Linked DNA regions of Daphnia pulex. The protein of the gene in region 2 purifies or fractionates together with the protein of the main gene of each other region. This does not show direct contact. Links are inferred from orthologs where the notes say so. Each region holds a gene or a part of one and is shown on either strand. Other genes may lie near its edges.

The links.
Region 1: the proteins of nuclear pore complex protein Nup214-like (region 2) and GTP-binding nuclear protein Ran purify together in Homo sapiens (affinity purification with mass spectrometry; 3 studies listed by BioGRID and IntAct, counting the BioPlex papers as one, with this or other methods). This does not show direct contact. The link is inferred for Daphnia pulex from reciprocal best matches to the Homo sapiens genes NUP214 and RAN.

What each region holds. Positions count from the first base shown.
Region 1 is NC_060020.1:1,357,650-1,364,560, forward strand, and holds GTP-binding nuclear protein Ran, read left to right. Parts: upstream 1-2,426; 5' UTR 2,427-2,579; exon of another isoform or gene 2,580-2,636; intron 2,637-2,764; exon of another isoform or gene 2,765-2,862; intron 2,863-2,993; 5' UTR 2,994-3,006; coding exon 3,007-3,249; intron 3,250-3,307; coding exon 3,308-3,496; intron 3,497-3,555; coding exon 3,556-3,771; 3' UTR 3,772-3,908; downstream 3,909-6,911. Other genes in the region: uncharacterized protein LOC124192239, read left to right, coding at 276-1,595; NFATC2-interacting protein-like, read right to left, coding at 3,994-4,268, 4,422-4,566, 4,635-4,724, 4,800-5,255. UniProt on the Homo sapiens protein: GTPase involved in nucleocytoplasmic transport, participating both to the import and the export from the nucleus of proteins and RNAs. Switches between a cytoplasmic GDP- and a nuclear GTP-bound state by nucleotide exchange and GTP hydrolysis.
Region 2 is NC_060027.1:5,445,994-5,453,875, reverse strand, and holds the start of nuclear pore complex protein Nup214-like, read left to right. Parts: upstream 1-2,578; 5' UTR 2,579-2,730; coding exon 2,731-2,763; intron 2,764-2,828; coding exon 2,829-3,167; intron 3,168-3,224; coding exon 3,225-3,415; intron 3,416-3,473; coding exon 3,474-3,782; intron 3,783-3,838; coding exon 3,839-5,042; intron 5,043-5,108; coding exon 5,109-5,236; intron 5,237-5,290; coding exon 5,291-7,605; intron 7,606-7,664; coding exon 7,665-7,882. UniProt on the Homo sapiens protein: Part of the nuclear pore complex. Has a critical role in nucleocytoplasmic transport.

The DNA.
Region 1 (6,911 bases), on a different chromosome or scaffold from region 2:
TTGATGAGATTTAGCACCATTGATTTGGATGCAGCCTTTCTCCTTGCTTTAATTTCGGTTTTCAAAAAATACTTGTCAGTTTGTTTGCTCTGCAAGTGGACACTGGACATGGAATTGTACCAAAATGTGTATTCTTTTTATTTCAGATCCCTTCTTGACATCACATGCAAAGTTTATTTCAAGAGATTCTACAGTCTACACTACGTCAGCTGTGTCCATGTGCAGCACATCTTTTACTATTCCACAAAGGCAAATAACTCATCTAATTTAAATCCATGGCATCTCAATCTCCCATCGGTTGTTCTTCTCAATCTTCCTTCTTAACTGTTGACAAAAAACATGAGATAGAGATGGATAATCTTCAATATCTGGCACCTGCTTCCATTCTAACTCCAAGTCCTAGTCCTTTATTGATGCCAGTTGATTCAAATTGGATGACACCCTCAGAATATCCTGTTCATTCATCCTCTACCCATATGAAAGCACAGTTTACTCGTGTAGCATATCCGAATTCACAGGAATCTGTTACGAATGTTCCACCAATTCGAGAAGTTGTAATGCCAGATCGTTACTCAGCAACAGCAATGGAACAAGAAGTGATGATGGAGACCACTTTCCTTGAAGACTCCATGTCCAAGAAGACCCCTGATTTATCTGATTGGCATTGCAGTCCACCTTTTCAATTTGAGGATGTGTCGGAAGATGTTGACATCTCTAACAAGGATATGCCATTTTCCCATTTCACGGAGAAACCTCAAATACCTAACGTGAAGCTCGAGTCGCCCGCTATTTGTGAAGACATTTGTTGGGAAGGCAGCGCATTTGATCCACTCGATGACAGTCGTCTTTGTTTTACCCATTTCCTGGAACCTCAAGATGTCAAAGAAATGGATCAAGAAATGGAAATGGATCCATTATTCATCACCACTGTTGCACCAATTGCACCTCCATTTCTCGTTGCTCCCGTCCTTAACCCACCGTTAGCCGCTGGGAAAATAACTGCCAATCCCTTTCTTCTTTCCGATTTTCCCGAAACAACAACACCTCTTCAAGCAAAAAAACGATTGATCGAAACCAATGTAAGCCAATCTCCCAGAAAATTAACAAAAATGGCCCCGCATGTTATGCCTGTGAAAGTTGAATTACTTCAACACAATTCGCCGGTTTGGTTGGTGAAATCTGAATTCGAGGAATCCAGTGTCATTGATCCCGACGAGATTCGACTGCTTCCCTTCGCACCTTCACATTTGGAATCACCACAAGAAGCTACTACAAAAGTCCCATTGAGTCGTCCTTCTACATCTTCGGTACCAAAGTCAAAAGTTGACATAGACGTGGATGAAGAAGGTAATTTATTCGCCACCATTCGTCTGATTGCCCCATCGCCTTCCATCACATCAAACAAACTTAAGGCATCAAAGAATGTTAACTGCAAAAACAAGAGGACTAGTAATCACTTTGGGCACTCTGGAAAAAATCCATCATCAAGGTTAAGCACAAAAAAAGAAACAAGAGCCAAAAAAGAGGACCCATTTTCTGTCAAGAGTCTGATGGCAAAGTTCATTGAAGCTGCAAAAAATAAAAAAATCTCCTAACTTTGATAACTATATATGATAAAACTTGGAGTTCCATGTTTATTTCAGATTATTTTAGTTTATTTTTATGTGTGCATGATTAGTTCGCCAATGTGGAATGTGATGACTACTGAAACCCCCTATCCCCATATTCCCCTTTGTCTTGCGTTTTTTGTTTGGATCCTCGTTCAAGTAGTCAGTTTCGCGTTGAGTTACAAACGAACCGGTATCGCATCAAAATGTTCGTCATAGCTTTATCTCCCAAGATTTTATACACTGTGATGAAACCTTCCGAAAATTATTTTGTAATAGTTCATTGATATTTTGTTTGTAAAACAAAACTCGCCATTATTTTTTGTAACCCAGAAATTCATCGTATCAATAAATACAGATGCTTGTATGAATGATCGCCTCCGTTGTTATTTTTCTTCGAACGGTTGATTTTATAACATACAATGAAATAATGACTAACAAAAAAAACAGCAATCATAACTTTGACAGAAATATTCATCATGCTGCTACCACGTCTTTTAATGTCCTATTAATTAATTTATATACAGTGATGCTTATAGGAATTTCTTTCTTCTTTTAAAAGGTAATTTCATTTGAATTAAGTGCTACTATCCTTTTTATTAACACATTTAGCATTTTAATCTCACACAAAATAAATATATTGTTGATTAAAAAATTAAAAAACATCATCCCGTTAATAGGCCTGAATGAAATTCAACATTAATAAATTACATTCAAAGCTTTAGACAGGCTTTAGAGAAATAGAGAGCTACAGCCCTGCTACAGCCTACTTTCCATTTTCAAATTCCAACCGTCTTTTTTTCAAAGAAAAGGAAAATATTCCCGCCGTTTCTCCTAGTGAAATTTGGCAACATCTCGCTAGGAATTTTTTAGAGCCACCCATTTTCAGCCAGCCTTTACGCTACCAGAATTTTTAGAGACCAGTTTGGTATTAGAACCGCGCGATTGTGAACCTAAAGCTTAAAACCGCCGGTGAGTTAGATTTATCTTCGAATATTGTCCACATCCTTCATCTTTTCGTTGTTTTAAGTAAGCAGTAATGTTTCTTTTGCCAATCTCTTTTTAATTCGGCATGGAAAGTATTTTAGTCATCATAGTTATTTTATTCTGCATTTTTCAAGTTGTAACCTCTAACAGTCATCTTCCTCCATCAAAGACAACGCACTAAGCTAGTCAGTGGCGGTAAAACTGTTCTGTGGTAGTTGTTTGAAATAGTCCCTTTTTTCTCTTGACATTAAACATTGACAGTTAACTTGTAAGTGTTCACGAGTGTGTAAATTTTTAGAAAAATATATTTTGTTGTCGTTAGATTAAGTTCCAGTAAATTCTTGTTGAATGACGCAATCAAGTCTGATCGATTCACTTATCTTTTCTCATTATTTGTAGGATTTACAACAGAATGGCTGCCGAACCTGACATGCCCACTTTCAAGCTGGTCTTGGTTGGCGATGGTGGTACCGGAAAAACCACTTTCGTTAAGCGTCACTTGACTGGTGAATTTGAAAAGAAGTATGTGGCCACACTTGGTGTGGAAGTTCACCCTTTGGTTTTCCATACAAACCGTGGAGCCATCAGATTCAACGTGTGGGACACTGCTGGTCAGGAGAAGTTTGGAGGTCTCAGAGATGGATATTACATTCAGGTAAATGTCAGCATACTTGTATTCACATGGTCTCGACTGACTTTCATTTATCTTGCAGGGCCAATGTGCTATCATCATGTTTGATGTAACCTCTCGTGTCACCTACAAAAATGTTCCAAATTGGCACAGAGATTTGGTCCGAGTTTGTGAAAACATCCCAATTGTTCTTTGTGGCAACAAAGTTGACATTAAAGATCGTAAAGTCAAGGCCAAATCCATTGTCTTTCACAGAAAGAAGAATCTCCAGGTATGTTAATTGTGCTACTAAATTGTAAATGCAATTTGCTAAATTTTGGTTTCATTTAGTACTATGACATTAGTGCCAAGTCAAACTACAACTTTGAAAAGCCTTTCCTCTGGCTAGCACGTAAGCTAATTGGAGACCCTAACCTAGAGTTTGTTGCTATGCCTGCTCTGCAGCCACCTGAGGTGCAGATGGATCCTAATTGGCAGAAGCAAATTGAAGGTGAATTGGAGGAAGCTCAACACATTGCACTACCAGAAGATGATGAAGACTTGTAACATCAACATATTAGGATTTAAGCCACTACACCCTCCCACAAATTTTTCCATCTGTGTTTTCTGCCTTCTATCTTAACCAATTTTTATTTGCGAGGTATGAAAATACATTGTGCGTCATAATACAAAAGTCTTTCGAATTTTTGTTTATTAGTGCATAATTTATTTGCGCAAGGGAAAATATACAAAGTAGTAAAGTTAAGAAAAATGTAGTGAACAAATAAACTACTCTCTAATGAAAACATCGATACACTCGCCACCTTCAAATTCCAGACTAGACGGTGTGTCATCTTCTTCCAACATTTCGCCGTCAAATTTAAACTTCAATTTGGACAAATCAATCCCGGTTGCTTCCGCATACTTCTGCATCAAAACTGCCATAGGGTCTTCGGGGCGCATTGATATAACCACTTGTGCATTCCGGTTCTGACTCTGAACCTTTAACTCCAACAATGTTTCGTTGGAGCTGACGACAACTCCTTCTTTGCAGACTGAAGCATCTGTTAAAAAAAAGCACTGTTACAACGTTCGCTAATACCAAACCCAATCGTCCAAAGTTTTTACATTGGAAAACCAATTGACTTCATGCCAGGGTTGCTAAAACCGATTTATGACGCTGAAATGGACTGTAATTTGAATGACAAGTAACATACCAATGATGTCTGATATCCCAAGTGGCACTGTTTTGAGACTGTCATAGTCATTCAGTAGTTGATCATTGAAATATAGAATTATTTGTCCAGCATCCACATCAGTGATCTCTGATAATTTCTGGCAGATGGTTTTGAAATAATCAGCCTGAATAATAGTAATAATAGTAAAAATGTAGTGGACTAGTTATTGATATGTTGGATGTTGAAGGTTACCCTTTTGATTTCTATCCTCCACACTTTTTGGGCAATGAAGCGAACTTTAACTACCACTATTTCATCACCATCAAGGGTCTGATTCAATTGCTGCACAAAAATATAGAAATATATAGGCAAGAGAATATAAAAGATTATTTACCAAAACCATTTTTCACTTCTTACCGAATCATTCAACGAAGCACAATAGAGTGGGTCCTCCTCACACTCAATTTCATCTTGTATTGCTGCAGGTACTTTACTGAGTTTACGTGATGTAAGATCTTCTGAAAATGACACTTCAGGTGATATATTGATGCAGTCTTCTATGTCTTCTAGAGTTTCCACTTGTCTGTCTGTTTCTTCGTGAACTTCTGTTTCATCTAAATCAACTTCTTGAATTTCTCTGTTTGGAACTCTAAGTACTTCTTCATCACTACTTTCATCAATCTGCTGAACAGGTGTTGGTGATACGTTTCCAGCTGAGGTAAAAATTTTGGTCTCTTTTTTGTTGGCAAGATGCGGTTTTCCTGTAGAACAAACTGCTTGCTTTTCTTTTTTAAAACGCTTACAAGCCCCCGAATATAAAGAACTAAAGTCTTCGTCTTCGTCTGAGTAGTCGGAATGTTTCGCGACAGACATGATTCAACAGCTACAACGTGGATATAACTTGCGAATTTACGATGGAAAACAATTGTTTCAACTTACTAGATAACTAGAACAAGTGAAGAGAATCAATAATTCGCTTGCAATGGGTTTGATATTCGTTGACTAAAGCGTGAATAAAAAATTTTTGTTACGTCTCTATCTTACTTCAATCTATGTTTACTCGTCCAGACTTGTTAAATTAAAAATGCAAGGACCACTTAAGTACTAGGCCGGTCATTGAGCTATTCCATGGCGTAACTTTTTTCTATCCATCCATCTGAGTTCTGTCCGAAGCTAAGAGATGGCGTATCTAGTACGTCACGTACATTTACATTAGGCAATATTTTTATGCATATCATTATTTTGGAAAAGTAACGGAATTTTATTCTATTATTATTTTGATCCAAATAAAATGAATCGCTTGAACCTTGAAATCAATCAGTTCAGAATTTCACATTTCAAGTACAATTAATTGCCGCTAGATGTCGTTTCCCCTCCAGGTGGCGCAAATCAATGGCCAAATTGACAATAGAGCAAACCAACGCCATGGCAACCTCGCGGCGGCCATATTATGTGAACTTTCACTGTGGAGTGTGGGCGATGTGGAGTGTTCTTACGGGTTTTGGTTAACTAGGATTTACTTGTTAAATAACTAAAATAAGTGTCATATGAAAGATGTTGATTTCAACATTTATGGCTGATTAGTGATTACAGTGAGAAGGGCCTTCCCGCATTCCATTTCCAGCACGTGATCGATCCTGTTCGAAATATACTACCTGGCATATTCGATCTAATGCAACTCGCCGATTCATTGGTGGAGGTTAGTATTGAAAATCTTTTGTTCAAGTGTTGAGTTTCCTTAAGTTAAGTAGTTTTCTTTCGTTCACCATCATGATTTGTATAATCTTTGGTGGATTCATAGTTACATTCAAGTTTATTTTCTGTGCAATTTGTTGGTGATGTGATTTTTTTTTTATTTGTGTTGGATCATCTTTCAAATTTCTGATTCTAACACTGTAGGAAGGCATAGGAAGGAACAGGAAACATTGGCTACAAGTACTAGCCTACCATCAATTCTTCCAGTAGAAATCATTGTTTTGCTGAATGCATCATCCAGTTAATACAGGTAAAAACCAATAATAGCTTAGTCATATGGGAACATAATCAAGGCCATGTGTAATCTTCAGGTTTATTGCAGCAACTTTGGGGAAGTCACACCATGGTCACACGAAAAGATGCAGGACACATACCAACTTGTGGTGTATTCATCTGATTTTTACTCGAGCAGTAGGTAGCAATTAACTTTATTTTATTGAATTATTAATGTTGGAATATTGATTGAAATATTTCCCTTAGATTCAACATGACTGTTTGATGCCAAAGTTAGTTGGAACTCTAACTCAAACACCAATAACCGTTGCTGCTGCTGCCTTACAGCCACAGGCAGGAAAATTATTCTTTTCTTCAGAAAATTGTAAGTTTAATTTTTATCTTTGAGATTTTTATGTTGAAAGTGAAAGAGTTAAAAATTCTGAAAAGCTAACTAAAAACTTTGTGTATTCATGTTATAGGGAAAGTTGCTGGAGTAATCTGGTGTTCATGCTCATTTGATTCATTTCCTGCCAGCTAGTGAAAGCCGAAAGGCATATC
Region 2 (7,882 bases):
AATGGGGTTCAGTAGGCCCGCTGGTCGCCTACGTTGAACTTTCCTCAATTGGCAGAAATGGCAGCTACGCGTCAGTCGTCGGGCTGTTTTTGTAGCACCTGGCCACCAAAACCGTTGTAGGATTCTCTCTATAGTTTTTGTTTGGCCTCCGTGGCCACTGGACGGATCAACATGACACGCCCTCGCGACTTGGCCTCTTAAAAACTTGGGCACGCAAAGAAGCCATGAATGCCCGCTTTTCCTTTTGTTCCGTCGATACAGGACTTGCTTTTTAAGTCGGAAAACGTCTTGGGTTTGCGGGGATCTTCCTTGTAGCCTGTCGATTGCAGTCTTAAAAGTTCGGTCTGCATGTTGCGCCAGCGACAATTCTTCGAGGTCAATTTTGGTAGGGGAAAAACAGGACAATTTTGGAGGGGCTAGAATACCAACCAGGGGATCTCGTGACGGTGCGGCGGAAGCAGGTGAAAAAGGGGGTGTGCAAGAAGTTTTCGCAGCGCAACATCGGTCCCTTCCACCTCGTGCGGAAGCTTGGCCCAAGTACCTACGAGGTGGAAGACCTTCCATCCCGCCGAACGGCCACCAGGTGGCGAGTGTTCAATGCCCATGTAGCCCAGATGAACCGCTACGTCACCAAACAAGGCACAGACACGGAATCATCCAGCCAAGCAAGCCCGGAGGAGACGGATTCATCGCCCTCCCACTCATCGGCCCAGTCGTTAGACGAGCATTCGTCGTCAGGCAGCGACTCATCATCTAACGAGGAATCGTCGTCTTCCCATTCGCCCTCGGTTTCGAGCGTTTCCGGACCGTCTCCACAGCGTTCGTCTCCGTCATCCGACGACTATGTCGTCTTCCGTTTGTGCAAGTTTCAAGTAATTATTGATATATTTGGATTTTTTATCATTTTTAAAGTAGCATACACTTTAGCTTGGAAACATATGGCGAGAGCGCCGATGTTTCCAAACTTTATATCTAGCACTTTGGGGATAAACTTCAATTCACTATAAAATCTACAAATATCAAATATCATGGTGAAAGGAAATTCTTTCCCCACCAAGAAGATTTTTTTAAATTTGCTTTGCGATAGCTCAAACGTGAGTTATCGCGTAAAAAAGGGAGACACTTTGGTCCGTAAGCCGCCGTGTTAGAAGCGCGGAAACACTCGCCGTGTTTCCAAACTTTGTGTAGGTACTGTACATATTATATTATATTTTTTCCTGAAACGGTGTCTGCGGGTTTTCTTCGGGTTTTTCTACATTAGTTTCATTTTCAGAGTCAGGATATATGTTACACAAAAATAATAAACTTACTTAAACTACTCCACCTTTTTCTAAGACTTGCTGACATACTGGCTTTCCCTTTCCATTCATCCTTCCCCTTAAGGTAATATATATAGCCAATCAATCATAAAACATATGTCAGGATGGCCGAGCGGTCTAAGGCGCCAGACTCAAGCAGGTGCTTGCCAAACTAAAACTTGGTAAATAGGAATTCTGGTCTTCGATAGAAGGCGTGGGTTCAAATCCCACTTCTGACAATCATTATTACAAGGAAATATTTTTGGATGGCACGACGGAGAAACAAGCTGCATACAAACCAGCTTCCTACCCTAGCCCAGCCTATCCTTTCGTACTCCTCATACAAACCTCTGCATACAAGCCCGCATCCATATCTCCGGCTTATCCGAACTACCAAGTAAATATCATATCCTGGCTTCTTGCTATAATTGATACAAATAAAGAAATAAAAGTTTTAAATAAACGATTAGTCAGAGTTTACTAGCAGTAATCTTTTTTCTCCCTGCGTCGCTTAAAAATGAATTTATGCGCTACGGCCGTATGGCGTCGCTGTGTCGCTGTTTCTGAATCTGATCAAATTAAACCAATAATTGTTTATTTGAATAGAAAATTTAAAAAAAAATAATTCCATCTTTTGCGGACTGATAAAGAAAAGGGATCGAGATGAATGAACTACACACAGGTTGGGATGAGGAAGTGAGTCGGATCTAAAGTTTGTCCTAGTTGGATATTCTTTGTCTAATTATGCTAGACTAAGGTTACATGAATTATCATCCAATTGAATCTCTTGAAAAATAATAATGTCCAATCGAGCCAGATTTGAGCAGACCGACCAGAATGTGTAGCCTAATAGATAAGGTGCCAGTTTATCTTACTTATAGATGTTAAGTTATTTAGAAGTTAAGTTAAGTTAATTTTGTTTGTTAATTAGTTCAAAGAGAGACTATTTGCCGTATAAAGAGACCGTGCACCACGATCAGATTTATCGTATATTATATAGTCCCTATTTGTAAATTTATTCCTCGAATATGATTCGTTTGATCGAATGTTTATTGTTTAATCGTTTTGAACAGGGTTTTCAATGAACCAAGTTGATGAAAATATTGTATCTTGCAATTTGGTTGACGTATCACGTAAGCCTTCCCTTTTGAATATCTTAACTCCACTATAGCCCCAAAAGTGATCAGAATTGGAAACACTACCCCTCAGCCCCTACCCTTTCAAAAAAAAGAACCGCGAGTTATTACAATTTAAAAAAATTCAAATTGCTTTGATAGATGGCGTTCACTTGTCACAAGCAGACAGGCAGTGAGGCACTCAAACAGTTAGACATTTCATAAAATTTCGACCGGCTTTGGCTTTGCAACAAAATAAGGTTGAAAGTGCGGTGTGATTTTCTATCCGAATATTACATTGATTATTGAAACTGATAATGGCAAACGTTCCTGATCCTGTTGAAGTCTTGGTAATTTTAAAATACATTTTTTTATTGTTTTCTTTCAATTCAACCAATCTAACTTGTAACAACAGGACTTCAAAATGAAACAGCTGTGTAAGTTTAGAGTCACTAAAAAGGAATATGATGTACAGGACACCACATCATTGCTGGCTACTTCTAATTTGTTTGGTCTGATCTTTGTTGGGACACCTGACAAACTTGTTGTCATCAAAGTTTCAGATCTTATACAAATTGACAATACAACATCAAAAAAATCAGAAATATCATCATTTCCCATCAAGGAAATTCTTTTACCCAACAAACCTAGTTTTGTAACACTGAGCTCTGATAATCTTACCTTAATGGTGTGCCTTCAAAAATCTGGATGCTCAGTAGGTTGGATGTATGATGTTCGTGGATTTGCAAGACAGGTATGATTTAAGGAATTTCATTTTGTGTGATTGAAACAGATTTAAAATCTTTTTCAGTCAGGTGAATGGAATCCCTTCCAGGAAGTCAGGCTTTCGTCTACTGATGGAGTTACTGTGAAAGATTGTGCGTGGAACCCTGTTATACCAACTCTAGTAGCTGTCTGTCTTAGTGATGGCTCTTTAGTTGCAGTGGAGATCAACAACACTCAATTCACTATAAATAGCCTTCCATCAAGTACAGGAGCCCAGTATGTGAATATCCTATTTTGTATGTATGTTATTTTCTTAATTTTATTGAATTATTAGGTCAGTCTGTTGGAGTCCCAAAGGAAAACAGCTAGTTGTGGCCAGGCCTAGTAAACTAGTTCAGTATAAGCCTGATTTAAAGGAAGCCAAGACTATAGCGTTTAGTGGTAGCGATGTCCATATGACTCAGCCAATGGTTTGTGGACTTCAGTGGCTTTCTACAACTCAGTTCCTTGTAACGTTTGTTGATCAAAATGAACCCAATTCTCGTCCCCACCTCTACATAGTCAACGTACAAAAATCGGGGGCAACAACTTTCATAGATTATGACGATGTTTGCTACGGAAGTCCGTCTGAAAGACCACACAGGTATACGAATTTTTTTCATTTTATTATCAATATAATGAATTTTGTTTCTTTTTTAGTTATCTAACATTGAGTTTATCCCCATGGAATGTGTTATTGGCTTGTTCAGCTAACGCAATAGAAGTTGCCGTACTAGCTCAAACAGGAGCTGGAGATGCTGATCACCCTGAATGGAGGCAATGGGCACTAGAAGGTGAATGGCGAGCTGAACTACCATTAAATGAGAATGCTGAGACTAACCCGTTGGGAATGGCCATCGATACCACTAGCCAAATTCCAATCAGTTGGGATGACAATCAAACTTTACCGCCCGCACCCATTCTTTTCATACTCAGCACTCATGGTCTGCTTTGCCCGTTTCATGTTATCAATCTAAAGAACGGTGCTGCCAAATTCAATCAGGCTCCTCAAGAATTGTCGGTCACTGGTGAGAGACCAGCGCTTAGTGGAATTGGTCTCAAGGCGGCTCCATTAGCAGCTTCCACTCCATTACCTGCTGCTGGTAAAATTGCATTTCCTAGAACAAATCTTGGAGAACGATTTGCTGCATTTGCGGATGCTCCTTCCTTAGCAGTCCCAGTTACAACGAAATTACCTTCAAATCCGCCTATTTCGGACTCGTTTTTGGGCAACAAACCCCAACTTCAACCTGCCTTACCTTCAGTGACGAAAGTTGCAACTGCACCTGTTGTACCAGCTGTGAAGATAGAAGCGGTTCCGGTTGTCCCGAAAGCTACTCCACTTACTGTCAAACTTACAAGTCAAACTCCAATCGCAGATGAATCTAACATCCATTCATCCATGGGCGCTGCCGCTGCAATATTACGTGACGAAGTGGCCAAATTCGTTCAAGACTTGAAGGAATTCAAAGCTCGTTCGTTGACTTTGAAAGTTACGATCGCGAGTGATGAGGAGAAAGAACGATTGTTAAAGATGACATCCGATCTGGCTGAGTTTGGTGTGGATCTGGTCGATACTACCAAAGTGCAAGACGAAGAAGTTCGAGGCTTGTGCACTGATTTGGTAGAAGTTGCCGCCCTTTTGGAAGATGCCCGTGTTCGACGTGCTCGTCGCAAAAATTCTCATTTCTGTCATTTGCTCAAGTTACGGCCTCTAGATCCAGGCAATCGCAGAAAAATGGACGGCATTGAGCGCTTGCACGTTCACATAGAACAGCAGCTTATAGAAGCTTCACGAAGCCTAGATTCGATTAGCAGAGACCGTACTAGAGACACCCGCAAAATTGAAATCCCAATAACTCAGGTAAGCTTGTTTTATTATTATTATTACTCTAAAATATTCAGCATCCTATGATTTATTTCATCTCAGGTTATTTATGAAGCAATTAGAAACAATACGAAAGTAATATCACAGTTAAAATCTCGTGTTGAACGAATTATGGTTCAGAGCAAAGAACAGCAACTGAAACTCGCCGGTGCAGCCTTCGAAGCTTTAAGGTATTTGCCATTCATAAATTCACTTAATTATTGAATTAATTGTGTGTTCTGTAGACCAAAGAGTGGTGATGAGTCAAGAAAATGGGAGTCTGAACTGGCTGTTCTGGCTGATTCTCTTTTGTCGTCAAGTATAAGAGGAGAAGGGGAAACTCAATCACACCATCCTGTGATCCCACAAGTATCACCTGATAAACAAGCAATGTTAAGGAGTGTATTAGCGCATAGACCGGTAGCTCGGATTCGAGCCGTTCGCCCAGAATCAGTTGCAGAATCACGCTTGCTGTCAAATCTCACCGGTTTCATTCACGGTGAAGATAAGAAAGATACTTCTTCAGTTAGTCCTAAGATTTCACAAGCTCCTTCCAAGACCATATTGCCCACTGTCAAAAGTGTAAGCTATTCGACGCCACAGGAGATTAAATCAGACCTGCCTATGCCTAAAATGGGGTTACCCGATCATGGATTCAATGCTAAGGTCTCTATGGCATCGTCTCGAGTGGATTTTGCCAAACCTACTCCACGTCCGCCCTCCGAGGTCGAAGATGTTACTCCGCCGTCTTCACCAGTTAACTTGGACCAAAAGGCCAAATCTCTCGGCAATCAGCTGATGATGAGCAGTTTGAGTTTACCCTCGCGCGCTCCCGTAACTACCGTGGAAGATACAAAGCCGGTGTCTAAAATGGCCGATTTGAAACCAGTCGTTTCTTTGCCTACTTCGCTTCCACCACCTTACGAGCCCAAACCTTCTTTCTCTTCAGTGCCCACGTCAACACCTATGCTTTCGTTTGGTGCTCCCAAGAAAGACCTAAACTCACTCGGATTAGGATCGACCAGTTTGTTCGGGAAATCTTCCTTTGGTTCCGCATTTGGCGCTGCTGCATCCCCTTCTACGACTATTGCGGCTGCATCATCTAAACCAACAGCCGAAGTTACATCACCATTCTCAACTTCAGGAACGCCGGTTACCAGTGCCGCAATACCGGCTACGTCAGTTCAGCCGCAGACAACTAAGGTTGTTTCTACTTCTTCGTTTGGCTTCTCTGCTCCACCAGCTTTATCAGCCTCCGCTTCAACTCCGTCACTGGTGGCATCGAAACCGGCAGAGCCAGCCCCGACTTTAAAAACAAGTTTTTCTTTCAAAGAGCTTTCATCTCTCTCTGGATCTGCAGCTCCGGCTTCCATTACCACAACAACCGTGACGCCGGCTGCAGTAACACCTTCAAGTTTTACGTTTTCTTCTACCTCCCTAACACCTTCAGCAGCAGCAGTAACCTCTGCTATCGCCGCTACTCCCTTGCCGATTGTAGCGCCGGCTTCGACCACTTCCAACACTGATGATTCAACTACCACCGTTAAACCGTCTGTCGCACCGACAAATTTCTCTTTCAGTTTGGCTGAAACTCCTAACAGTTCCAGTACCAGTGTACCAGGAGCTACTGCTCCTTTTACTTTTAATCTCTCTGGAACCGGTTCAGCTACTACTAGTTCCACACCCACAGGATTTGCAGCACCTTCTTCCACTCCTGTTGCTGGGTCATTGTTCTCTTTGACTCCATCAAATAAAGCACCCGTCGCCTTTGGTGTAGTTAATACTTCAAGTGTGTCCAGTCCCTCAATCTTTGGTCAAGCAGCAGCACCCGTTGTCCCAACAACGACACCAGCGGCCACATCTGTCTTTGGCCAAGCACCACCTCTAGTTCCCGCGACAAGTACCTCCGATTCAGGCGTGGCAACTTTATTTGGCCAAAGCAAACCAATCCAGAATGTATCATTGACTACTGCTGCCCCTGTCACTCAATCCGCTCTTGGACTGGCAGTTGCTCCCACTAGCACACCTTCCGCCTTGTCGCCAGCACCAGCCACCACCACAATTTTTGGTCGTCCATCAGCAGCCCCTGGAAGTTTGTTCGGTCAGTCTGTAACGACTGCCGGACCTTTCCCATCTTCCTTCGGACAGATTGGGTTTGCCCAGCCTACTTCAACAACTTCGACTACATCAAGCACCTCAGTCTTTGGACAGTCAAGCTTTGCCAAACCAGCTCAGGCTAGTGGAGTACAGCCGACTTCATCCTTTGGTTCACCCTCCGTGTTTGGGCAATCAAGTGGTGGAACACCCAGTGGATTGTTAGCAGGGAGCGTTTTTGGACAAGGTGCGGCTCCAGCAACAACCGCGATCAAACCGCTGTTTGGGGTATCTACATTTGGACAAACATCTGTGAATGCTCCTACTTCTTCAGCTCCAAATGCCAACCAAGGATTTGGTGCCGGTTTGTTTGGTAGCATGGGACTCGGTGGTACCCCAACCTCTGCCAACGCTAACCGCAATGTTTTCGGCGGATCGTCTGTATTTGGTGGTGGCACTCCATCTGGTAATTTAACATTTATGTGTGTTTATTTTTTCATCTTCTTACGATTAAGCTAATTTAAGGTCAAGGAACGTTCGGAGCGACTTCTGCGCCATCTTCTTTTGGTGTTCAACCTACTACTGCTGCTCCAGCTTCTTCGTTTGGCAGTACTTCACCGCCAAGTTTTGGAGGCTTTGGACAAGCCCAACCCGCATTCGGAGGAGCTGCGACCTTCGGTGGTTCCCCGCTATTCGGAAGCAAACCGACGTTTGGTGGTGGAGCAACATTTGGTTCTCCCGTA